Linked DNA regions of Mus musculus. The protein of the gene in region 1 interacts with the protein of each later gene in a biochemical or structural test. Links are inferred from orthologs where the notes say so. Each region holds a gene or a part of one and is shown in the gene's direction. Other genes may lie near its edges.

The links.
Region 2: of the proteins of Eif2ak2 (region 1) and Eif2a, one has a biochemical effect on the other in vitro, tested with the Homo sapiens proteins (4 studies listed by BioGRID, with this or other methods). The link is inferred for Mus musculus from reciprocal best matches to the Homo sapiens genes EIF2AK2 and EIF2A.
Region 3: the proteins of Eif2ak2 (region 1) and Dhx9 form a complex in vitro, tested with the Homo sapiens proteins (2 studies listed by BioGRID, with this or other methods). The link is inferred for Mus musculus from reciprocal best matches to the Homo sapiens genes EIF2AK2 and DHX9.
Region 4: the proteins of Eif2ak2 (region 1) and Tarbp2 form a complex in vitro, tested with the Homo sapiens proteins (2 studies listed by BioGRID, with this or other methods). The link is inferred for Mus musculus from reciprocal best matches to the Homo sapiens genes EIF2AK2 and TARBP2.
Region 5: the proteins of Eif2ak2 (region 1) and Dnajc3 form a complex in vitro, tested with the Homo sapiens proteins (2 studies listed by BioGRID). The link is inferred for Mus musculus from reciprocal best matches to the Homo sapiens genes EIF2AK2 and DNAJC3.
Region 6: the proteins of Eif2ak2 (region 1) and Prkra form a complex in vitro, tested with the Homo sapiens proteins (3 studies listed by BioGRID and IntAct, with this or other methods). The link is inferred for Mus musculus from reciprocal best matches to the Homo sapiens genes EIF2AK2 and PRKRA.

The regions. Positions count from the first base shown.
Region 1 is NC_000083.6:78,865,573-78,869,072, reverse strand, and holds part of Eif2ak2 (interferon-induced, double-stranded RNA-activated protein kinase), read left to right. Parts: intron 1-265; coding exon 266-316; intron 317-2,635; coding exon 2,636-2,758; intron 2,759-3,500.
Region 2 is NC_000069.6:58,553,321-58,556,820, forward strand, and holds part of Eif2a (eukaryotic translation initiation factor 2A), read left to right. Parts: intron 1-2,214; coding exon 2,215-2,331; intron 2,332-3,252; coding exon 3,253-3,318; intron 3,319-3,500. UniProt on the Homo sapiens protein: Functions in the early steps of protein synthesis of a small number of specific mRNAs. Acts by directing the binding of methionyl-tRNAi to 40S ribosomal subunits.
Region 3 is NC_000067.6:153,477,661-153,481,160, reverse strand, and holds part of Dhx9 (ATP-dependent RNA helicase A), read left to right. Parts: coding exon 1-29; intron 30-2,179; coding exon of another isoform or gene 2,180-2,182; coding exon 2,183-2,295; intron 2,296-2,971; coding exon 2,972-3,120; intron 3,121-3,500. UniProt on the Homo sapiens protein: Multifunctional ATP-dependent nucleic acid helicase that unwinds DNA and RNA in a 3' to 5' direction and that plays important roles in many processes, such as DNA replication, transcriptional activation, post-transcriptional RNA regulation, mRNA translation and RNA-mediated gene silencing.
Region 4 is NC_000081.6:102,516,878-102,520,991, forward strand, and holds the start of Tarbp2 (RISC-loading complex subunit TARBP2), read left to right. Parts: upstream 1-1,314; 5' UTR 1,315-1,672; coding exon 1,673-1,725; intron 1,726-1,775; exon of another isoform or gene 1,776-1,967; intron 1,968-2,244; coding exon 2,245-2,414; intron 2,415-3,597; coding exon 3,598-3,700; intron 3,701-4,114. UniProt on the Homo sapiens protein: Required for formation of the RNA induced silencing complex (RISC). Component of the RISC loading complex (RLC), also known as the micro-RNA (miRNA) loading complex (miRLC), which is composed of DICER1, AGO2 and TARBP2.
Region 5 is NC_000080.6:118,936,624-118,940,731, forward strand, and holds the start of Dnajc3 (dnaJ homolog subfamily C member 3 precursor), read left to right. Parts: upstream 1-1,308; 5' UTR 1,309-1,465; coding exon 1,466-1,547; intron 1,548-4,108. UniProt on the Homo sapiens protein: Involved in the unfolded protein response (UPR) during endoplasmic reticulum (ER) stress.
Region 6 is NC_000068.7:76,645,057-76,649,267, reverse strand, and holds the start of Prkra (interferon-inducible double-stranded RNA-dependent protein kinase activator A), read left to right. Parts: upstream 1-1,411; coding exon 1,412-1,476; intron 1,477-1,973; coding exon 1,974-2,143; intron 2,144-4,211. UniProt on the Homo sapiens protein: Activates EIF2AK2/PKR in the absence of double-stranded RNA (dsRNA), leading to phosphorylation of EIF2S1/EFI2-alpha and inhibition of translation and induction of apoptosis.

The DNA.
Region 1 (3,500 bases):
TTCTGAGTCTGAAGAAAAAGGAGGTGATAGCATGCCAGTGGCACGCATGTTCAGGTAAAAGTGAGATGCAGGAGTGAGATGCAGGAAAGAATGGAAGAGAATCAAAAGGAAGTGTTTATTCTGAAGAAGGTGAACAGTCTCTTCCTATCCCTCTGATGACTGATGCAAAATAGAAATTGGCCGGTGCGTGGGGCGGAGCCTGCTCTAAAGTTCTATAGGTTGTTGTTTTGTCTTAGTTTTCTATTTTTTTTTGTCTCAATTTTAGAAAAGTATCCCCTGATGATGTGCAAAGAAATAAATATACCTTGGACGCCAGGTAAGCGGAGTTTGTCTAATGGTAAGCTCACTCTCGAAACCGTTGCTTAGGGTCAGGTTATGAGTTGTATTTCCACCCAAGTAATTAATGTGGGCTGTGGCATAGGCAGGCCCATGGAGGGTTATGGTCTCTCAGAGAAGTGAGGTTTAGGGATCCAAGTGGAACGTGTCGGATGCAGACCTCGGTGATGTTATCAGGCTTTCTGATATCCATGGATGCCGTTGAAACTGAAAAGCAAGTAGGACTTTCAGCGATTTGGAAGAAAAATAAATAGAGAAGAGAAAGGATAGGGAGGAAGATAGGTGTGGAGGGAAGAGAGGAATGCCTGTGGGGATGGACACAAGTCAGCGTGGGCCTGTTCTCTAGCTTGTTCACACAAGACTTCACTAGGAAAAAAAAGGAAAGGGGGCTCACCTTCTGTAGATGATGGTTCAGTTAAAAATGAAACACCTAAGATGCAAGAAGCCGGTGTGCGGCAGCGGAACATTGTGAACAAATTCTGAATGCTTATTAAGCACCTAGCCCTTACCTGTAACTGTTGTGGGCTGGTGGCTTAGGGTAGGAACAAATAAAATAGAACTCTTTCTCTGAAAAAATTTGGAGGTGGCCACTGGCATTAAGGAAATACTTATAATTAAACACGTGTATATTCAGAGGCTGGGGAGATGGCTCAGCTGTGCAAACATGAGGGGCCTACGTTTGAATTCCAAGTGCCCCTATAAATAGACAGGTGCAGTAGCGCACACACCTAGAACTCTCAATGGTGGCCGAATGGAGATGAGCGATCCACAGCCAGCATAACCAGTCAGTGAGCTCCAACCTCAACAAAAGAGACAGCCTCAAAAAGTAAAGTGTGTCACAGCCAAACATCGGCTTGAGCACAGGGACCCCAGTGGAGGAGTTAGGGGAAGGACTGAAGGAGCTGAAGGGGCCTTATTGGGCATCAGTGGGAGGCAATTGGTCCTATGAAGACTCGATGCCCCCGTGTAGAGGAATGCTACGGCAGTGAGGCTGGAGTGGGTAGGTGGGTGGGAGAGCACCCTCAGAGAAGCAGGGGGAGGGGGAATAGGATGGGGATCTGTAGGAGGGAAACCATTGGAAAAGGAGATAACATTTGAAATGTAAATAAATAAAATATCCAATTTTTAAAAAGTATAAAAAAATCCAACTTATAACAGAAAAAAAAGAGGAAAGTGCAAGGTGGGTGTGGTGGCACACATCTTCAATTCCACCACTCAGGAAGCAGAGGCAGGCAGATCTCTGAGTTCAAGGCCAGCCTGAGCTACAGAAAGAGTTTCAGGAAGCCAGGACTACACAGTGAAACCCTGTCACAAAAACCAAACCAAAACAATAAAAAAGGTGGAGAGTAACTAAGGAAGACCTCTGTCACCAATCTCTGGCATGTGGCACGCACATGCATGCACACACATACCATACAGACATATACACAAGCACGCACACATACATGCACACACATACATGTGCACAACCATACCCACGTGATCAGTATTCACATATTTATATGACACACATACGCTGTAATTACAAAATATGGCCAGAGTTAAAGAAGAACAGTAGTATGGTAAGAAATGGAAAGATAGCCCTAGGGTCACCTTTTTGTAGAGAAAAATTGCATTGAAGTGCAATGCAAAGAATAAGGTGTAGTGGGATGAAATTGGAGAAAGAACTGGGGACATGCTATGTTGCATTTTATTGGGCATTTAAGGGTTTCCTGGGTTTTGCTGAATGCAAAGGTAAGGTTTGTAGAAGGTTTAGGGGAGAGGGAGACACTATCAGACTAAGTTTTCACAGCTAAATTAGGGTAGGAGGAGCTGGGTGTCAGTCAGCAAGCCACCATTGTAGGGGCCTGATGGCTGAGCTGGAGTAAGGATGCCAGAAATGACGAAACATCAGCAGATGGGAGTGCTGCAGGTTGGAAGAATTAGCAGGCCTTAAGGATGGGAGATGGGGAAATGGAGGGAAAGAAACAGGTCGCTATAGGCAACCTTGGGCTTGTGCTTTTTCTGTGGTCCTTGTGGCGTACAACTGAGTGATTCGTTTTAATACTTGTTGAGGTGGGGTTCATTTCTTCTTTGTAGCTGCTAGAGAGGATGCTTCATCATGTACAGCCAGAGGGGGTGATCTGTTATACTGAATTCTCTGTTTAATATGGGAGGTCAAGAGAAAAAGGAAGAGGGAGATGTTTTTTTGTGACTCAGGAGTTCTGGCAGACATTATTAAAAACAATAAGGGAAGAATCATTTTCATCATACATGAAACACTGAACCTCAGGGTAACAGCAATATCAATCTTATCTAGGTTTAACAGCGATTTTGAAGACATAGAAGAAATTGGCTTAGGTGGATTTGGTCAAGTTTTCAAAGCGAAACACAGAATTGATGGAAAGAGATACGCTATTAAGCGCGTTAAATATAACACGGAGTGAGTACCTGTCTTGCTCTTTGAACAGTGTGTTGAACTCCCAGCTCTCGCCTTTATGTGCCTATCCTTCTTTGCCTGCTAATTTCTTTCTGGTCCTCCTTGATTTTTTTTTCCTGACTACAAGAGTTTGACTTATCCTGAAATGACCTTACCTTACTAACATTGGTTATTTATTTCAGTTTAAAATATGACTGTATCATTTTGAGATAGTGCTGAAACCTCAAGCTGTTGACTTAACTTGGTCTAAGGAGGTTTCCTCAATTTTCTCCATTTTGAGGCTCCCTCCTCTCTGATGTTTCAAACTTGTATCACATTGACCTAAAAAGAGCCACAGGCTAATTTCAGGAAAACCGCACGGTGTCTTAGCTCTTGAGCCCTGTTGCTGTAAAGCTTTCATTGTACAGAGTCTTGGCTTCTTTGCATAAACTAAGCCCCTCGATTTATGTTTGTCACACAGTGAAGTTTCTAAGTTAGGCTCTGCTTGCTGCTTGGGTTGACTACCCTTGCTGCCCAAATGGGACTTGTTTGTGAACTTCAAAGATTTTAACACATCTTCTCAACAGAGTATCAACCATGATGTAGCTATTGAAAACTGTTACAGACAGTCAAAAGGAGATGCAAACGATGCATACCTTTGGATAGCTACCATTTAAGCCTCTGTCTTCTTCTTATACATTGAGAATGAGAACAGCTGTGGTTTGGGATATGGCTTTACTATTCATTCAGTTTTCTTCCCTTTTGA
Region 2 (3,500 bases), on another chromosome or scaffold:
CCACCTCTTGAAGGCTCTACGACATCTTAGTAGCACTACCTTGAGGACAAACTGGACCTGACCTTGAAACCTGAGCTTTCAATGGGATTGTGTAGTGTTTCCTACTATAGACTCTTCTTCTTTTTTATTTTTTTAATTTTTTAAAAGATATTATTTATTTTATGTATATGAGTACACTGTGGCTGTCTTCAGACACACCAGAAGAAGGCATCCGATCTCATTACAGATGGTTGTGAACCACCATATGGTTGCTGGGATTTGAACTCAGGATCTCTGGAAGAGCAGTCAGTGCTCTTAAATGCTGAGCCATCTCTCCAGCCCCCTGCTATAGACTCTTGATGGAGTGTCTATTTTCCTCAAAGGACATGTGTATTAAGAGAGGGCAAAGGCAGCTGGGTAGTGGTGGCGCACGCCTTTGATCCCAGCACTTGGGAGGCAGAGGCAGGCAGATTTCTGAGTTCAAGGCCAGTTTGGTCTACAAAGTGAGTTCCAGGACAGCCAGGACTACACAGAGAAACCCTATCTCGAAAAACCAGAGAGAGAAGAGAGAGAAGAGAGGGGAGAGAGAGAGAGAGAGAAGAGAGAGCGAGAGCGAGCGCACGCTGGGTATGGGCAGTTCATACCTGCCATCCCAGCACTTGGGAGACTGAGGTTGGAGGGTTGTTCGGAGTTTGAGTTCAGCCTGGCCTAGGATATTTAATGAGCTCCAGGCCAGGCGGGGCTTTGGCTCCAAAAGAAAGTTAAGAAAAGGAATGAAAACCCAACTAAGTCAATACTTAAACAAAAGACATTATGTACTTGTAATAATTGATGTAAATTACAGTGATACAGTTCATTGGTTCGTGGTGATATTGTGTCCAGCTGCATTAAGAGTATCTGGTGACAGGATCAGGGTAACCATATTTTAGAGGTTAAGACAGAGCAGATACTTTAGTCTATTTAGACTTACTAGATCAAAATACCTCCCTTAGGTTGATAGTCTCTAAGCAATAAAAGCCTATCACCCACAGATCTTGTGGCTGGAGTCTGAGCAAGATGCTGGTGGACTCATTCTCTGGGGAAGGACTTCCTTTTTGTGTGCGCCTATGGTGGAGGACATAAAGCCTCTTAAGATACTTACTAATCCCGTGCACTCAGGACCACTTAGTCCTTTTGGGTGGTGGCAGTCTGGATGTGTGTAGCTTTCAGCCTTCCAGCCTTGTTGAACAGGCAGTCCCTGTTTCTGCCACTGTGCTATATATTCCAGGCTAGCCGGTCCCTTCGTGGGCCTCAGAGTGTGATGCTGCTGTCTCCTCTTATCCTCCCTGTCATGTGTATCTGGCTTTTAAAGTGGGTTCTGAACCTTGAACTTGTCTGAGCAAGCACCTGTGACACACAGACACGTGTGGAATTCATGACAGAGTTTTCCTGGGAAGATGCCGCACACACCTCTTCAGCCCAGGAAACAGACCCCACAACAGCCAAAGTAACAGTTGTGCCAGTGTCCAACTTGGCAGACTAGTAACTTTTTACTGGGGATAATAGCAGGACTGTGGGTAAGGGGTTTACCTCTAAGGAGCAAGAATGGCTCAAAAAGCAGCTCCCTTTCAGATACTGCAAAGCCCACCCCGATGTGGGTGATGAATTATAAAACCTACAAGCCTGCTCCCCTGTCTAAAATCTTCTCTTTAGCCTGGCTGGTCAGAGTCTTTATCCAGCAGTTCATTTTATGAAGCTGGGAGGGACCTTCAGGCCCTGCTTTCCTAGATCTGTGGCCATTTGTCTCCCCCGCCCTCCTGGAGGGGTGTTTCCCTGGGAGGAAAGTGCACCACAGTGACGTCAGAGGGCCACCTAAGGGGCCAGCTCTCTTCCCCCTGCTGGGCCCTGGGGTCAACTCCAAGCTTCAGACTTGGCAAGAAGCATCTTTACCCCAGTTATGTTTCAAAGGGGAGAATTACAGTATGCTTGTCTAAAATTTGAAATTAGAACATGCTTGTTCCCATTTGCACCTAGTGTATTCCATCTCTGGAAACATGTTTTAATAGGTCAGGCTCACGTGTGACCCCAGAGACCCCAGAGTGGGAGGAGAGAAGCAGGTCCTGCGGGCTGTGCTCAGGAGTCAGCGCCTTCTGCCGTGTGGGGCCTGGGGTGGAACTCAGGGTGTCCGGCTTGACCCACTGACCCTCTCAGGTACCTGGAGAGAATAAATACATGTGCAAATTTGGTTTCCTTTAGGAAGCAAGAAGTGATGCGGCTCCTACTCCTGTCCCACAGAGTGCACCACGGAACACGGTCACCCAGTCTGCTTCTGGTGATCCTGAAGTAGACAAAAAAATTAAGAATCTAAAGAAGGTGAGGCTTGAATGAAAAGCAGATATGTGCACGAGAATTAAGAGTGGAGCTCAGGAGCTTAAAACAGGGATTTAAGAAGTTGGTAACAGTGCTCATTGTTGCTTTCTTTCTATAGAAATACTGTAATTGAGAAAAGACCTCAGCTCAGTTCCATTCACCAATCTTTAATGTCGGAAACTACTTAAGTGTTTAATTTTGAAGTAATGAGGAATGATAGGGACACATCTGTGTAGAGAAGGCTATGAGACTGGAGAGTGAACCCAGAGCTCATGCGTGCTAAGCAAGTACTCTCCTGCTGAGCCACATCCCCAGCCTGGAACATTTACCTCAGCATCTCATGAGCTACAAGAGAAATTTTATTTATTAAATGAAATAAATACCTTATATCAAATAAACAAATACTTTATTCCAGGTTTTTTAAGGAGCACACACACAAAAGGGAGCTTATGGTGTATAAGGGCAGGTCTGGGGTTGAGGCTTCTCTGAAATGCAAAGGTACCGCCCAGCCACTGTGGAGGTCTGAAATAGACGCTGCATTTGTGTTACACTCATGAGTCCACGCCTGGACACTCAAGCATCGATGAAAAACTTACATGCAAACCTGACAACCCAAGCCTGCTCCGAAAACCCCCAGAGAGATGAAAAGAAAGGGAGAAGAGACTCCACAGAGCTTTCCCCTGCCCTCCATGTATGTCCTGCAGCTTAGCACAGAATAACTAAACAACAAAAACTTGCAAAACCTATTTTACACAGCCCCATGTATTTAAGCTATAATTTTATATTTAACTTTTAACAGGAATTTATCCTTGCATTTTAGCAAACCATTGTTTAGAGAAATGAAGTATGGTTGTTGTTAATACAAGAATCTGCAATAGAAAGTAACTGTTTCTTCCTTCTCCTTCCCCACTTTTGATTTCACAGAAACTGAAAGCCATAGAGCAGCTAAAAGAGCAGGCAGCCGCCGGGAAACAGCTAGAAAAAAATCAGGTAAGCCCTCGCTTTCCCTTTGGTTCAGAGTCGTTAGCACCCTGTCCTATTTAATATAGGCAACCCTTCAGTCAGAAAGAGAAAGCATGCACACTGGTCCAGACTGTGGTGCTGAGTCACCGTTCCCCAGGGGTCCTGATGCTGTCGCTGTAGAAGTACTGACAGTTGTTGGGTTAGGTAAA
Region 3 (3,500 bases), on another chromosome or scaffold:
TCCTCCTCATCTGGCTCTCAAAGCAGAAGGTAAGGGACTTGAATATATGTACTTAATGGAGGATAACACAGTCATGCTTGGTCACCTCACCTTGTCATTTGTATAGAGAAATCAATAAACATGTTTATTAGGTGATCCCATTCAAGCAGCCACTGTTTTAGGGTTTGTTCTGTTTAAAAGATTTAAATTTATAGCTGTTTTACCTGCAATACTTATGGGCCACCAAGTGGGTTAAAGAATTTTATGAGTTGCCTTTTATATGGCTGTGTATCAGGCTTAGAGGGCTTTGCACATATTAGATACTCTGTGGCTGAATTTTGTATTACATCCACCTTTTGTTTTGCCCTACCTGTATACCTGTAATAGGATTTGTGGATTCTAGTCCTGCTGAAAATTTTATTTGGGTTATTAAGAGCAGAGTAAGATTTTGACCAGGTTTCTAACAAATACTGAAACACAATTTACAGCATCTATCCTATTGTTTTGACTTGAACAAATTATAAAACTATATACTAATCTGTCACTTTAGAGTTCATGCATATTGATGTTTGCCTGCAGTACCTGCGGAGGCCACAAGAGGCCACCACTCCACAACTGGAGTTAAACCTGAGCCTTCATGGGTACTGCATATCAAACATAAGTCTTGTAAGAGAAACCAGTGCTCTTTATCTGCTGAACCATCTCTTTTGCATCCCACTCTGGTTTTATATAGAGTCAAAACTTTTAGGGGCTACTAATTATTAGTCCTGGGGTTAGCTTTCTTTTCAGAATTAGGTTTTGTGTTTCTGTTTTTATTTAGGCTGTAATTTGGAGAATGAATTTACACTTTCAGATTCTCCTGTTTCTACTTTCCCAAAGCTGGGCTTCAGGCTTGTTTACCACACCCAGTGTTATTCTGTGGTGAGGGTTGAACCCATTGCTTGCTTGGTGCTTTGTAGACATCCTAGCATTGTATTAAACAAACTTCATTTTCAGCATCTCTAAATGTTTTACTTAAAAAGATGTATTGCTTTTGGGCCAACCACGGTGGCATACTCACCTTTAATCCCAGCACTTACTTGGGAGGCAGAGGCAAATAGATCCTCATGAGTTCAGAGGTGTTCTGGTCTACATACCAAGTTTTGGTACAGCCAAAGCTAAATAATAGACTGACCTCCCCTGTGTGCTTACATATTGTATTTGAGGACCCCCCCCTTTTTTTAATAGCACAAGTGTATAGAAGACAGGACAAAATACATTCAGCATCCAATATAGACTCAGATTATTAGGTTCATACCTTTACCAGCTAGACATTTCCTAGTCTGGATAGTTTTGTGCTTTGTTATTTATGTATAAAAACAACTGAAATAAGTATGTCTTAAAGTACACATTAGGGGGCTGGAGCGATGGCTCAGCAGTTAAGAACGCTGACTGCTCTTCCAGAGAGGTCCTGCCTTCAATTCCCAGCAATAGCATGGTGGCTCATGACCATCTGTAATGGGATCTGATGCCCTTTTCTGGTGTGTCTGAAGACAGCTACAGTGTACTCATGTACATAAATAAAGTTTAAAAAAAGTACAGATTAGTGCTTAGGAGAAACTCAACCAAGTATGAGTACTTGTGTTCTGTACCCCACCAGCATCCATATTGTGTAGACAGATGGTTCTGTGGGAAAGTTGGCCTGCTAGGTACCTAAATATGCTAGCCCAGTGAAAAGCTGGTCAAATGAGAAAGGGTTTATTTATTCTGCTTTATAGTCCATGACAAGATTGAAAGTGGCAAAAGCGTGGACAGCTGATCACCTGGCAGAGAGCAGGGAATTTGTGCTGTTAATTGTTAGTTTTCTATTTTCATTATCCAAGCAATGGGACACTTACAGTGTCTTATCTTCTCTCATTAACCAAGACAATCTCTAACAGACCATACTACCTTGGGATTAAGAGTAAAGTTGCCAGTTAACATTAATTATCAGACTAAACTACTTGACTGCTTCCTGGAGGTTACACTATGGCTTCCACATGCATAGACATAGACAACCATAAATAAATAGGCTGACCAATACAGTCCTGATTATTTCAGATGTCCTTGCAGATTATTGAAAACCTGTATACAAACATGTAGTCAGGGACATTTGTTAAAATATGTAGCTTTCTTCCCCCAAACTTGGTTAGTTAAAAGAGCAATTTTCTTTTTTTAATAGCAGAAAATAATTCTGGAGTTGAGTCTTCTGGCTATGGCTCTCCTGGACCTACTTGGGACCGAGGAGCCAACCTTAAAGATTACTACTCAAGAAAGGAAGAACAAGAAGTACAAGCGGTGAGGAATCTTACATAGTGTTAATTTACATTTTTGAAAATGCGACTTGGGATTTATTTCACAGCAGAGTTGAGTACCTATACAAGTTAATAGCACATTGAGTTGTTGATTTGTTTGTTTTGAGACAGTCTTCAATCCCAGGCTGGCCTTCATTCCAGTGGCCCTAGCTAGAAAGCCTATTTTACTAGTTGGTTGCATAACCCTGGTGTACATGCTTGTAGTCGCAGCATTAAAGAGAGGGTCAGGAGAATGACTAGTTCAAGGCCAACCTGGATTATAGTGTTCTAAGAACATAGTGATATCCTATCTCAAAAACAGGCTCAGGCTGGAGAGATGGCTCAGTGGTTAAGAGCACTGACTGCTCTTCCAGAGTTCCTGAGTTCAAATCCCAGCAACCACATGGTGGCTCACAACCATCCGTAATGAGATCTGACGCTCTCTTCTGGTGTGTCTGAAGACAGCTACAGTGTACTTATGTATAATAATAAATGTTTAACAAAAAAACAGACTCAGTGATAAAGTGGTTGACTAGCCATGTTCAAACCCCTGGATCTCAGCACTACAAAAATAAAAATCTGACTTTATATTGAAAAAAAAAAACCCAAACTGTACATTATTATTGTACCTTATGTAAGTGTAGTAGTGCAGCCAAATTTACTCATCATTGATTCTACAGACTCTAGAGTCAGAAGAAGTGGATTTAAATGCTGGGCTTCATGGAAATTGGACACTGGAAAATGCTAAGGCTCGTCTGAACCAGTATTTCCAAAAAGAAAAGATCCAAGGAGAATATAAGTACACCCAAGTGGGTCCCGACCACAACAGGTTTGCTTGTTTCACTATTTTCCTTGTAAAAAGTTAAGGTGGTTTGACTTTATGCTTATTAATTAAATGTTACTCAGTTAACTGTGTGCATCAGCAGTGAATTGTAAAAAGATAAATATATAAGAATTACTGACTTGTAGTTTACCATACTTTTTTTAAAAGAATGTAATGCTATTCTATTAGAAGTCCTGCAAAAATCTGTTGCTGAACTTTGATGTCAGTTAATATCTACTGTGGTGGTTTGCTACTAGTTGACCTAATTGGCCGGAGGCGGTGATCCCTCCTCCCGCCCAAGTGTAGTTATTGGCGATATCTTTAAATACTTAAATGGTTCTGGTATGTTTTGTTGTCTTAGAAGTAGATTGTATGTATTACCTATA
Region 4 (4,114 bases), on another chromosome or scaffold:
CCCTCCTCCCCCCGTTGCCCTCCACCGGACCTGGAGAGCTGTCACCGGCGATGCTCGTGTGGAACTCAGGTGTACGGGTGTCAGCCCCAGCTTTTAGCCCCCACCCCCTACTCGAAGCCCCGTCCCCACTCGACTTGAACTCCCGCTCCTTCCAAAGCCCCCGCCCCTGGCCCCCCGGGACGGACACGCCCTGAGCGGGGGATGCTGCGCTGGAGTCGCCGGCCTCTTAAAGGAGCCTGTGGCTGCCATCCGGCGCGATCCAGGCTCCTTCCTGGAGGTGTTCTACGGCAGTTCCACTTTGGTCCTCATGCGGAATCTGTAGGATCCCCTTGTGACCTGTCTTACAGATTCTTTCCTACACCCCGAGAGCGCAGTCCATCAGTATACACAACGCTCTGGCACTGGTCCCTTGTCATACCGACATCTCCAGCTGGCCTTCCCTCGTCGCTGCTCCATTTTCACCCAATTGGAATCCACCCAGCCGTAGGTCCCTTCCCACTTCTGTGCTCCTGGATGACCGATCGCTCGTTTTCATTACTGATTCCTCTTACCTCTAACCCTATTCCTTTCTAGCAAGACATCTTATCCTAGACCCATTTTAAAAAACACTCTTTGAATCACGTTTTTCGTGGTATCACTTTCTCCTTCTGTCCAAGGTCACAAGATTTCCCATATTTCTTTCACTCTGGTGGTATCAAGGCTTTGGAGAGCCAAAGGTAATCGTTAAGCTCTGCGCGTATATTAGTTCGTTAATTATTCCTGTGCTCTTTCAGGTGAGACTAAACACAGAAGGTCCATCTAATGATTCTCGGGACAGTTAAAAGAGGTTCACTAGGGCTGATCTAAAGAGGCACGAACCCTGTCAGGCTGCGTGGAGTTAGTGAAGAGAGGCGAAGGACAAGCCACAGAAAAGCAACGGGTTTTTTGACACGGAGTGCTGAGAAGCTTACGCTACAGCCTGGGAGACCGGGTCTGAGGAGAACTCCGGACTTATAAAACCCCAGAGCTCTGGGGTGGGGGTGGCCAGGTAAGGCACACCCTCTGGGGCAGCAAAAGGACTTCGGCCAATCACAGCCTTTCCTCAAGGAGAAGGCTACACCTTTCCTCGTCTCCGCCCTCTGGGCCAAGTGACCAATCTGCAAGCGCCTACAGGAAGTCGCTCTCAGTATAGCCAATAAAGCAGCGAAGCCCGCAGCGGCGCCCGAATGACGCGCTGGCGCCTGGGTTCTGTAGTTCTCTCAGGGAGACAGACCTTACCGCCCCGCCCCTGGCCGCCTACACGCAGCTAATACGCATGCTCACAGTGTCGGCTTGGGAGGAGGCGGTGCGCAAGGAGGAAGGCGGGAATGACATTAGGAAAAAAAAAAAACCAAAAAAACAAAAAACCCAACCCACTCGTAGTAGCTTGGGAAGCTTCCGCCGAGGGTCTGCTCCTCCCAGAAGGCGGTGCAGATGCCCGGGCGAGTCTCGCTGAGGGTTGTGGGGCGGGTAGCTCGGATCCATAAGAAGACACAAGGAGCCGAGTGGGCGGGGGACTCCAGATCCCAGCATGCCCCGCGGCGGGCCCTACCGGCCGCGACTCCGGGCTTGGCCCCGGCCCTAGCTCCTCGGCGGTGTACTGGGGTGCGTGGAGGCTGTAGTCACGGTGGCGCCCGCGGGGACGGAGGAGGGAATGAGTGAAGAGGATCAGGGCTCCGGCACTACTACAGGCTGCGGGCTGCCCAGGTGAGCTGCCTCGCTTGGATTCCTGAAGGACGAAAAGTGTGAGGTGGTGAGGAGGGGCGGCGGCGCGGCCCCAGCATGCACCTGGCCTGAGGGTTGTTCCCAGCAAGCACTGGGGTAGTGGGCAGAGGTTCCCGGCATGCACTGGGGCTGTGGCCAACGCCTCCAGCTCTAGTTTGGGGTTGGCTTGATTCCCAGACTGCACTAGAGCCCTGGGCTTTATGCCCCGACGTTCAGTGTATTTGGTGGGTACTGGGTTCCCGAATTGTATTGTGTCGGGGGAAATGCACGTTCAACCAGCACCACGGCACAGGATCCCTCGCCTTAACTGAGAACAGTACATTCTCCACTTGCCTTGGGACCTTGCTTTCCCTCATGCACCTTAACTTTTAACCCAGCCAATGGATGCTATACTGCCTGGGAATTCATGGACCCTATAATGTGGCTAGGTCTAATGTGACAGTGATTTGCCAGGTGGGTGCCGAAAGGGGAAGTGTGATGTTGGTCTGTGCCCCTTCCCAGCATAGAGCAAATGCTGGCCGCCAACCCGGGCAAGACCCCGATCAGCCTTCTTCAGGAGTATGGGACCAGAATAGGAAAGACGCCCGTGTACGACCTTCTCAAAGCCGAGGGCCAAGCCCATCAACCTAATTTCACCTTTCGGGTCACCGTTGGCGACACCAGCTGCACTGGTGAGGAAGGCCTGGGCAGCCTGGCTGGGGTGTGCATTCACAGGGCCCGTGGCTTAATATCATGCGATCACCTCACAGTCCTCTCCTTTAAAGCCAGGGAGGGATGGAGATATTTCAGGGGGAAAGAAGGATTGGAACAGGGCTGTGAGACGGTGGACGGGACCCGAGAGACTCACTGGCGAGAACAGGAAATGTCACAGAGATCTGCTACTTTATCACCCCAGAGGAAGAGTAAATGAGACATTGAACTCCTCGTGGGTATTAGGGGGAGCACATACTCTGCTAGCCTTCATGCCTCACATTGAACACGAAGAACTTAGTATGAGAAATTAAATGGTAGGCTCCAGTTCACATGTAATAAGTGGCAGAGCAGAGCTTTGACTTCAGACCCTCAGTTGTCTCTATTTCCTATTTACCGAGGGAAGAGAAAAGGGGAAAGAAAGACAGAGCAAAACATCCCTCCGCAACCCACCAGTGTTGGAGCTCAAAAATCCTGCCTGGCACAGTTTCATTACGGGAGCTGACTGAAAGAGGAGGTGTTCAAGGCCCATTTCTGTTGCTGTAGTAAGGCTCCGAAACTAAAAGCAGTTTAGAGGAGGAAAAGGGTTGATAGGTTTACAGTTCAGGTTACATTCATGACTAAGGGAAGCTAAGGAAGAAACTCACATTATCAGTCAAGACCAAAGAAAATAATCTGATTCTTGCTACTTCTGACTAAGGAACTCACTTCACAGCCACAGAAGCACAGCAGGAACAATGGCAGATACTCCATGCTGGCTGGCTGGCTTATTTATACTCTACTAGATTTCTTACACAGTTCAGGACCACCTGCCTAGGGGTGGTACCACAATAGTGGGCTGTGCATATCAGCATCAATTAACTATCAGTCCATCCCCCCCACCCACCCCCAGACATGCCCTCAGGCCAGGCTGATGTAGGCAATTCCTCAGTTAAGGCTCTCCTTTCAGATCCTTTTAGATCCTAGGTTGTGCCAAGTTGACTGTTAATGCTAACTAGGAAAAAGGCTAGTCCAACAATTAGTAGAACCCTTCCAGTTCTGACAGGGGAGGTTGGTCAGAGGGCTCTTCTCACTCCCTCTGGCTATGAGGAGATAGGCTGTGGGGGCTGGTTTCTCTGCTGTCCTGCCGGTGACCTCCAGTATTGCCCACGCCCCTTTTCTTAGGTCAGGGCCCCAGCAAGAAGGCAGCCAAGCACAAGGCAGCTGAGGTGGCCCTCAAACACCTCAAAGGGGGGAGCATGCTGGAACCAGCCCTGGAGGACAGCAGGTGAGGGAGGAACAGCCAAGGCACACTAGAAGCCCGCTGAGAACCCAGGCCTCTGCACTATCTACTTCTCTCCCTAAGCCTGGTCTGGTGACTCATGGCCACCCTCTCGTGGCCCCTTCCTGAGAATTTCCTCTGAAGCTGAACAGGGTGTTTCTAGAGTGCCTCAGAGTAATAGCCAGCCCCCTTTGATGGGTGGTGGCTGCTCTGGGGCATGAGAAAAGGGCATAGGGGGTGGAGGCAAAGACTGATAAAGTTGGTCCTGGCATGCCCCCTCTTTCTAGCAAGATGGCTTTCCCTCTTCCACATTCAGGTTGCAGCTTGTTGGGTAGAAAGAGACTCTTTTCTGAGCCCCCACCCTAACCTCAGTGCTTCTGAGCCAGTGTGGGGTCAGCAGAGGATCCCAGGAGGAAGAGC
Region 5 (4,108 bases), on another chromosome or scaffold:
AATAACAAACCCACGTTATTTAGCGATGTGTAAAACGTTGCTGCCATATAGTGTCTGTTCAAACAGAGCAGCTATGGGCGTAACCTACCTGATTAATTTAACGACAATCTTGTCCAAGTTCTTATGTCTTTGAATGAAATAGGCACAGTAAAGAAACCCAAATAGACACTTGGTGGGTGTATAAGAGAAAAGTTTATTCCAAACTAAGGTCATTGCTTGGGAAAGCAGAGGGCTAATACTGAAGACTGAGCAAGTAATGGGTAGGGACTTTGTTATGTAGGGTGAGCTAAAGGCACTGGAAGCATTTTAAGGATGCATCAATAGATACTTAGTCTAGGGCAGGAAATAGCCCCAGAAACCATTAAGCCAACCTAAAAAAAAAAGTGATTCTGGAAGTTTCTTTGGCGAGACTGAGAGGACTGCGGATTTTAAGAGAGCCACCCAGACCAACTGTGAGACTTGGTAGAATGGCTCTTGCATCTCTGATCCACTAGCAGACCTCAATAGTGTCAGGTCCCCCAAGAAATTCCTTTCCCCCAGGTAGGGCATCTAGACAAAAGCCAGCATTCCCTCGGGGTGGTGGTGGTGGTGAAGATAGTTCCTACTTGCTAAGTGGAGTTATTCTCCTATCTCTGGGAAAAGGGACATTTGGCTCTTCCATTAACTTATGACAGTGGGGTCTATTAGCCCGTCAAGGTCCCATATAACCCAGAAGATAAATCCCCACCATCACCCCAGCCCGCGCAGCGCTTCTCTCTGCTTTCCCGAGAGACAGCCTTCGCAGTTTGGAATAAACTTTTTTTTTCCCCTTTTCACCCACGGAGTGGCTATTTGGGTTTCTTCCCCCATTTCATTCAAGAAGTCCAGTCATCTCTCTCGGACGTCCCTGGAGACTTCCTGAGACTCTCTGGCCTTACCAGCCCAGGCGGCGGCGCCTTATCCCCCAACACTACCCGAAGGAATCTGGGCTCGCTCCAGGAACCCGCCGCCCCTGCCAAGCCAGCCCGCGAGGCCGGCCCAGAAGGGCTCTAGGGCCCGCGCATGCGGACTCGGCGGCCGCAGCCCGGCCTCCCCAGCCTCTTCCTCCTCGGCGCTCGGCGGCGGTTTGGAGCCCGCTGACAGCTCCACGACCAGCGGACGCAGCCTCGTCTTGTGCTTCCACGTTATCCTATCAGAGGCGGGGCGGGGCGCCAGCCCCCACAACCAATCAGCGCCAACCACGACCCGGGCGAGCTGGGCCGCTCTGTGGCCAGAAGGAAGGCGATTGGGCGGCGGCGGCGCCCGGGGCGTGGCTCCGCGGGCCCCGCCTACCGCTGTTTTCCGCCGCCGGGCGCCAGCCGCCGCTGAGGCCCGAGCGCTGACCGAGCGAGCGAGCGAGTGGACGGGGCGCTTCGCTGCGGGCTGTTGGCCGCGCGGGCTGCTGGGCCGCGCACCTTCCTGCTCTTCGGCTCAGGCGCCCTTGGACATGGTGGCCCCCGGCTCGGTGGGCAGCCGGCTGGGCGCGGTGTTCCCGTTCCTGCTGGTCCTGGTGGACCTGCAGTACGAAGGTGAGTCCCGCCCTGCTCCCGGGGCGGGCTTCGGGTCCCGGTCCCGGCTGGGAGCGGCGCTCCGGGGCGCGAGGCTGGGTCCGAGCCCGGTTCCGGTTCCGTGGGCTGAGAGGCGGGACTGGCGGGCCGCGCGCGCGAGGCCGGTTTCGGCGGCCTGGGCCAGCGCAGCCGGGAGTCCGGCGTCCGGGGGACCCTGGATCGGGGGTGCCGGGAGGAGGCGAAACGGCGGCATGCACGGGACGGGTCCCGGTTCCGGAGTGGCGGGCCAGGGCCCTTTCCGAAGCCAGTCCCATTCCCTCACGACCCCGCGTCGGGCGCGCAACTTAGGCTGGTGCCTGGAGAAGCCCACCTCTGGGCTCGGAGCTCCCGGCGCCTAACTTGCTGGGCTGGCTGTGGCTTCACAGTTCCCAGCAAGGCGACATTCAACTTTGTCCCCCCACTGACGTTACTTTTTCTAGTCATCGCAAAAAAAAAAAAAAAAAAAAGTCTCTTAAAAAAAAAAATAGGGAGCGCTTACGTTTCACCCTGGGCTCCAGACTGGAATGTTGGCTACTCCCAACAGAATAGCAAAAAATAGAGGCCTGTCCTATCTTGGGTGTCAGAGCGGGGAGGAGTTAGACATTGAAGCCCCAAATGCCCACTGAACTTCCCAACTTGGTTACGGTGCTGTAGTGACATCTGTCCTGGGCACTGCTCTGTACTCATTCCTGTAAGTCTGGGGATAGTTGTCATGGAAAGAGTAAACAGTTGAATATTCCATTTGGAGGGACTGAGGAACTGAAATTGGGAACAGTTTATGATGAAACCATCATAGAAGTCTATGCGGGTTTCTTTCTTTCTTTTTTTTAAAGACATATGCTTAGGTTTTTAACCATTAAAGGTATGGTTTTTGTTGGTTTTGGCTTCCTGATCACCATACGTTCTTTGAACCCCAAATCAGAATGTGTACTGTGGCAATATTGAGACCAATAATTTGATGTTGGAGCCAGCCTCAAAAGTGAGGGGATTGGAATTTGAAGGCCTGGACCACTTTAGTATGGGTCATATGTTCTAACTTTCTTTCATTTTCTAATTCTTTCCATCTGCATTGATTGTGCCCAGTTATCATTAGTGACTTATTTTAGTAACTTAAGGGAAAGTTGTCTATGCTCTACTTAGTGTCGATTTAACTTACTCTCCAGACATGGGAGTGCTTATTTTTGTTTGCCTTACCTCATCCAGGAGCTTGTAGATCAAGCACCTTATTCGAGTTTCTGTTCTTTGCAGGATTAGGACTTTTAGCATTTCATCTCTCTACTGTGGTATTTCTATAAGAAAACTCCGAGTTTTCCCGTCAGGAAAGCACCAGTGGCCTCTCTGAGGAGAAAGCCAGTGTTGCTTTTCCAGGAGTATTACCTGTGCAGAATGGCAGGTGATGGAGAAGGAAAGAGCATTTCTGTAAGCCAGCTCTTATTCCACAGAGATATGTGATAGTCTCTGTGTTACACATCTGGGAGCTGGTGTTCCAAGAGCTTAATGAAAATTTATCTTGGGACTGGAGAAATGGTTAGTGTGTTTGTTGGCCTTGCAGAAGACTGGAGTTGCATTCCTAGTACCAGATCAGGATGCAGTGAGTTAGTTGTAATTACTCACAACTCAGTCTTCTGGTTCCACAAGCACCCAAAGAGGGGTGTGTGTGTGGGTGGGGGGTGGGGAGAGAGGGAGAGAGGTGGGGTATGAGAGAATGAGAGAACACATGCACACACATGAGCCCTTGTGTGTGTGTACACAGAGTAAAGAAAATCTTTAAAAATAAAATTTACCTCTGTATGAAGGTGGGAACAGGAAATTGTACATAGCATTCACTTCAAGCATTTTAAAGTCGGACGGCCGAGCAAAATCAGCCTTTTAAGTTAGCAATAGAAAGTGACAGGGGGGGTGGTTTCCTGGCAGGCTCAGTGTAGTGGTCTTCCCAGGTGTGCTGGCTCATACCTGTGATTTCAGCAATCAAGAAGCTAAGGCAGGAGGATTATCATCAATTAAAGAGTGTTAGGCCACTCTGAGCTACTGTTTACTTTGTCTAAAAACAAACCCAAAACCAAAAGAAAACCCAAGACCAAACAACCCTCCCCTAAACAAAACAGAACAAAAACCAAAAATCCTCAAATACCAAAACCTGCTTTTCCTCCCAAAACAGTGGTTCTCCAGCTTGATTGTATACCAGAATCTCACATAGAATACTTGTAAGAGTTGGGCACACTTACAGAACGTCTGATTTAGTAGGTCTTGATGGAAAGTGAAATTTTCATTTCTGAGAGGATCCCAGATGACCACATTTTGAGAATCACTGGTGTAATAAAGTATCTGTAGGAATTGAATTAGAGGTTATGCTGTTTGTTAGAATTGGTGATGAGGTTATTAAGATACAGAGTAGCAAATTGTTAGCTTCTGTTTTCTTAAATGGCTTAGTTATATCTGGGTCCATTAGCCTCTGTCTTGAGGAGGCATGCAGGTCAGGTGCTGCCACACTGCACTTAAGGCTGCAGAGAGAAGACATAAGGGAGAGTTCTGTGAGAACAGGA
Region 6 (4,211 bases), on another chromosome or scaffold:
ACAAACAAACAAACAAACAAACAAGCAAACAAAAAAACCTTTTAGGAGTCTCTCAGTAAGAATATTTCTAGAATTCAATTCTAGAGCATTAAGTAAACACAGGAGCCATTGTGCAAATAGTTCACAAATTCTAAGACGCTCTGAAGCGCTAACACACCCACAACATACTCTGTAGGTGGAGCGTTCCAGGTTAACGTCATCACTCTCCATTGCACAGGTCAACCGGAAGAGCAATCCTGGAAACTGGTCTAAATATCCTTGCTATGCACTCCACCTCCAGCATCTCTTTGGGGATCCCACATGTTCCCAAAGCAGAGGTTCTAAACCTGTGGGTTGCAAGTCCCCTGGGGTTGCATTATAGTAGCAAAACTACAGATATGAAGTAGCAAGAAATAATATTATAGTTGGCGAGGGGGAGAAGGGGTTGTCACCACGACATGAGGAACTGAATTAAAGGGTCACAGCATTAGGAAGAATGAAAACCACTATCCTAAGCAGGTCACAAGAGTCCGCCAGACAGCAGCGGGCCCGCCAGACAGCAGCGGGCCCAGGGATCCAGGGCTCTTAAAGCCACTGGCTGCCCCTTAGCTGACGCTCTCGGGTCTCAAGTTTCGGGGCCAAGATCCACAATTTTCTTAGTAATTTACCATTCGAATTTTTAAATCTTTCTTAAAGTAGTCCAACCCTTAATCTTTTTTCCTTGCTCCTCAAACATGCTAGGCTCGTAGCCTACTACTAGCTTTCTCGCTGAGAAGGAAGCCACCTCCCTTTAAGGACAAAGGACTGAGGCTCTCTGCACCACTAAAGGCGGGAGGGGAAACTCGGGGAACCGAAGCGGGGTGCAGGCAGGAGCCGGGAAGAGCCGGGACATGCAATGGAGGCGGGGCCTAGAAGGGTGAGGGGCGGGGCCGGGCGCTCAGAAGCTTTGGAAGCGGAACGGGGGGTGGGGGGAGGCGCCTGCAGAGGCTGGGAAGAGCCCGGACTGGCAGAGAGGGCGGAGCCAGGTCGCAGGAGGGGCGGGGCCGGGCTCTGAGAAGCTCTGGGAACCCAACTAGAGAGCGGGCGGTAGCTGGGAAGGACAGAAACTTGGCAGAGAGGGCGGAGCCCGAGGAACGGGAAAGGGCTGAGCACTGTGGCAAAGTGGAGCAAGAACATCGAGGGGCTGAGCATGGCAGAGAGGGGCGGGGCAGAGAGGCTGGGCAGAGAGGGGGTGTGGCCGGCTCTTCCGCGCCGAGGCCCCGCCTCTCCTTCCTTCTCCTCCTGTCCCTTAGCTGGAGGGAGGCAGGCAGCGATTCGAGGGGCGTCCAAGCGGCAGCGCGGGCACGCTCCTCTCGGGAACTGGCCGACGTGGAGAGGGAGGACCCAGATCCACACTTCTCTTGATTGCTGTGGCCAGCCGTCCCTTCTCGCCATGTCCCATAGCAGGCATCGTGCCGAGGCCCCGCCGCTGCAGCGCGAGGACAGCGGGACCTTCAGGTCAGCGCCGGGCCGTCGAGGCCTCAAGGCCCAAGACGGGTGGGCAGCGGGGCAGGGGCAGGGAGCCGGCTGTCGGGCAGCATTCTGGGTAAAGCTCCCCCCTCTCCCGGCGTGGCGCTGGGCCCGCCCTCCGGGCCCTGGGGGTCTGCTGCGCGCCCCGCCCCTCTAGTGACCCTAGGCAGCTAGCCGATCGGGAGGACTTGATCAGTGTTGAGGCGCAGACCCGGGTGTCTAGCTGCCTAGTCCAAGCCCACCCGATTTCTTTCAGCATCCCTCCCACCGCTCTCAAGTTCTCTGTACAGACCTCTCCACTCTCCTCCATGGGCTGCAGCACCCGGGGACAGGTGCTCGCCCAGGCCTTGCCACTGATCCTGGCCGCTGGGGAGCTGCAGAACCTTTTTGTCACCATTTGTGACTGTCAAAACTGAGAAGTGGATGCTTTTGCTTCCCTTTCAGCTTTGACGTGCAATGCCTACGTTTTTTTCTGGTTTTTGCAGTTTGGGCAAGATGATAACAGCTAAGCCTGGGAAAACACCGATTCAGGTATTGCACGAGTACGGCATGAAGACCAAGAACATTCCAGTTTATGAATGTGAAAGATCCGATGTGCAAGTACACGTGCCCACTTTCACCTTCAGAGTAACCGTTGGTGACATAACTTGCACAGGTCTGTATGCAGTTAATTCCCCATGACCATGTGGATTGGAGGCCCTGATTCTATGTTGCTTTTCAGTAAGGAAAAGCGCCCTTTTAATTAAGATGGCTGTGGGAGTGTACTCTGAAGACAAGAGACTCCAGGATCAACTTCATTTGTTTCGCTCCCTAGTTCTGTCTCGCTAAGATGTAAGGAAGCTCAGACACTCCCAGCATCCTGCACACTTTCCAGTACCTGGGGAGCCGGCTAAAGTTCCTCTTAAGAATTAAAAACTGGAAATATTCTTGGAGCTCCGATAGCCAAGTCCGTGGGTGCTATCGCCTTTCAAAGTTACAAAGTTACCAGCGCAGAGGCTAGTAGCCACGCCGTCAGAATTTTCCGAGTTTCCCTTTTTATGGACACATCTGGAACTTCGGATTCTTGGTACCTACCACGCTTGAGTGTGTGTCCATGAAAAATCAGGGAAACATAGAAGACTCCCATACTGTATTCCTTCAAGCTGCAGCGCACAGTAGCTTCTAGTTCTAAATACTATATAAGTATTTTGTATAAAATTGTTTCCTCTTTTTATTCATGAAGTGGCAACTTTAAAAACCTTTTCATAAGCTACATGCCCAAGGTCACACACCAATGAAGTTTTAAAGTTCAGATTAATGCCTTCTTTTAGTCTAAGCCTGAGAAAATGGTTACCAGAGTTGCCATTTGTAAACGTGGACATTATTTTCCTACATACCTATTTAGCTGAAAGCATAAAAATTGTTAAATAGTTTAATTTGTAAATATACAAAGAAAAATTAGAAAAAGCTAAAGTTCCACTGTCTGCTAGTCTGAGCATATCATATATTCAAATATGGGGACCTGAGGTTGCCTATATTTATTGGAGCAACTTCAAAAAAAACCTGAAGCTTTTTAAATGTTTGTGTGTGGGGTAGATTGGTTGTAAGTATGCACTGGAAGTTTCCTTATGGAAATACACACGGTTAGAGTTGCGTTGCTACTTTAGCTGGTCATTTTTCAAATATTTGGGAGAAATGTTCAAGAAGAAAAGCCATTTTCCATTTTAGTGCATTTGGGTTAGAGATGAGCAACCTATTTCAACTGCTCTACCTTAGATCCCTCTCATACAGCCCTGTCTTCCTGTCGTAACTTCTCAGCCTTCCCCGCTTCAACTACTATCTAAAGACTATAATTCTGGAGGCAGGTGAATTTCTGAGTTCAAGGCAGTTCTGGTCTACAGAGTGAGTTCCAGGACAGCCAGGGCTATACAGAGAAACCCTGTCTTGAAAAACAAAACAAAACAAAAAACAAACAAACAAAAAGACTGTAACTCTGAAATCTTTGTCTTCAGCCAGGAACAGACATATCTGCCTGTGTGCTTTCTGGGCATCTTTGCTTGGGCATATTAGGGAAAGACATCTCAGACTCTTGTCCTGAACTCAACCATCTTTTCATTTAAACTCATTTTTCTTTCTTACATTCCTTTTCCCCCCGCTGGGAGGCACCAGAGTCAGTTGGTCAATAGAATTTTGAGGTTGTCTTGCTGACTCTGTCCTGTCCCCTTTTCCCCCTGTCTTTGTGTCTATGTTGCCATAAATCCCTGTCTTCTGGACAACTGTTGAGTCAGCATCTCTCTTTCTCTTGCTACCTGTGCTCTAGAACAGTAGTGGTTCTCAACCTTCCTAATGATATAACCCTTTAATTCAGTTCCTCATGTTGTGGTGACCCCAGCCCTAGAATTATTTTGTTACTACTTAATAACTTACGAAATTACATACTCCATTTTGTAGCTACTTCATAATTTTGCATGAACCATAGTGTAAATACCTAATCCTTGGAGTCAGGGGAGGTATCAAAACCCACAGGTTGACAACCTCTGGTCTAGACCATTGTTATCTTTCTCTTGGACTAAAGTTCCTCCCATCTTGTAACTGCTCTTTCAACTTGGAGTCTTGTGGTGTGCATTCTCTTCACAACAGCTAGTGTTTTTCGTTGTGTTTTTGAATCAGAGACTTACTATGTAGCCCAAGCTGACCTTGATTTTTATTTTATTTTATTTTCCTCCTGCCTCAGCCTCCAAAAC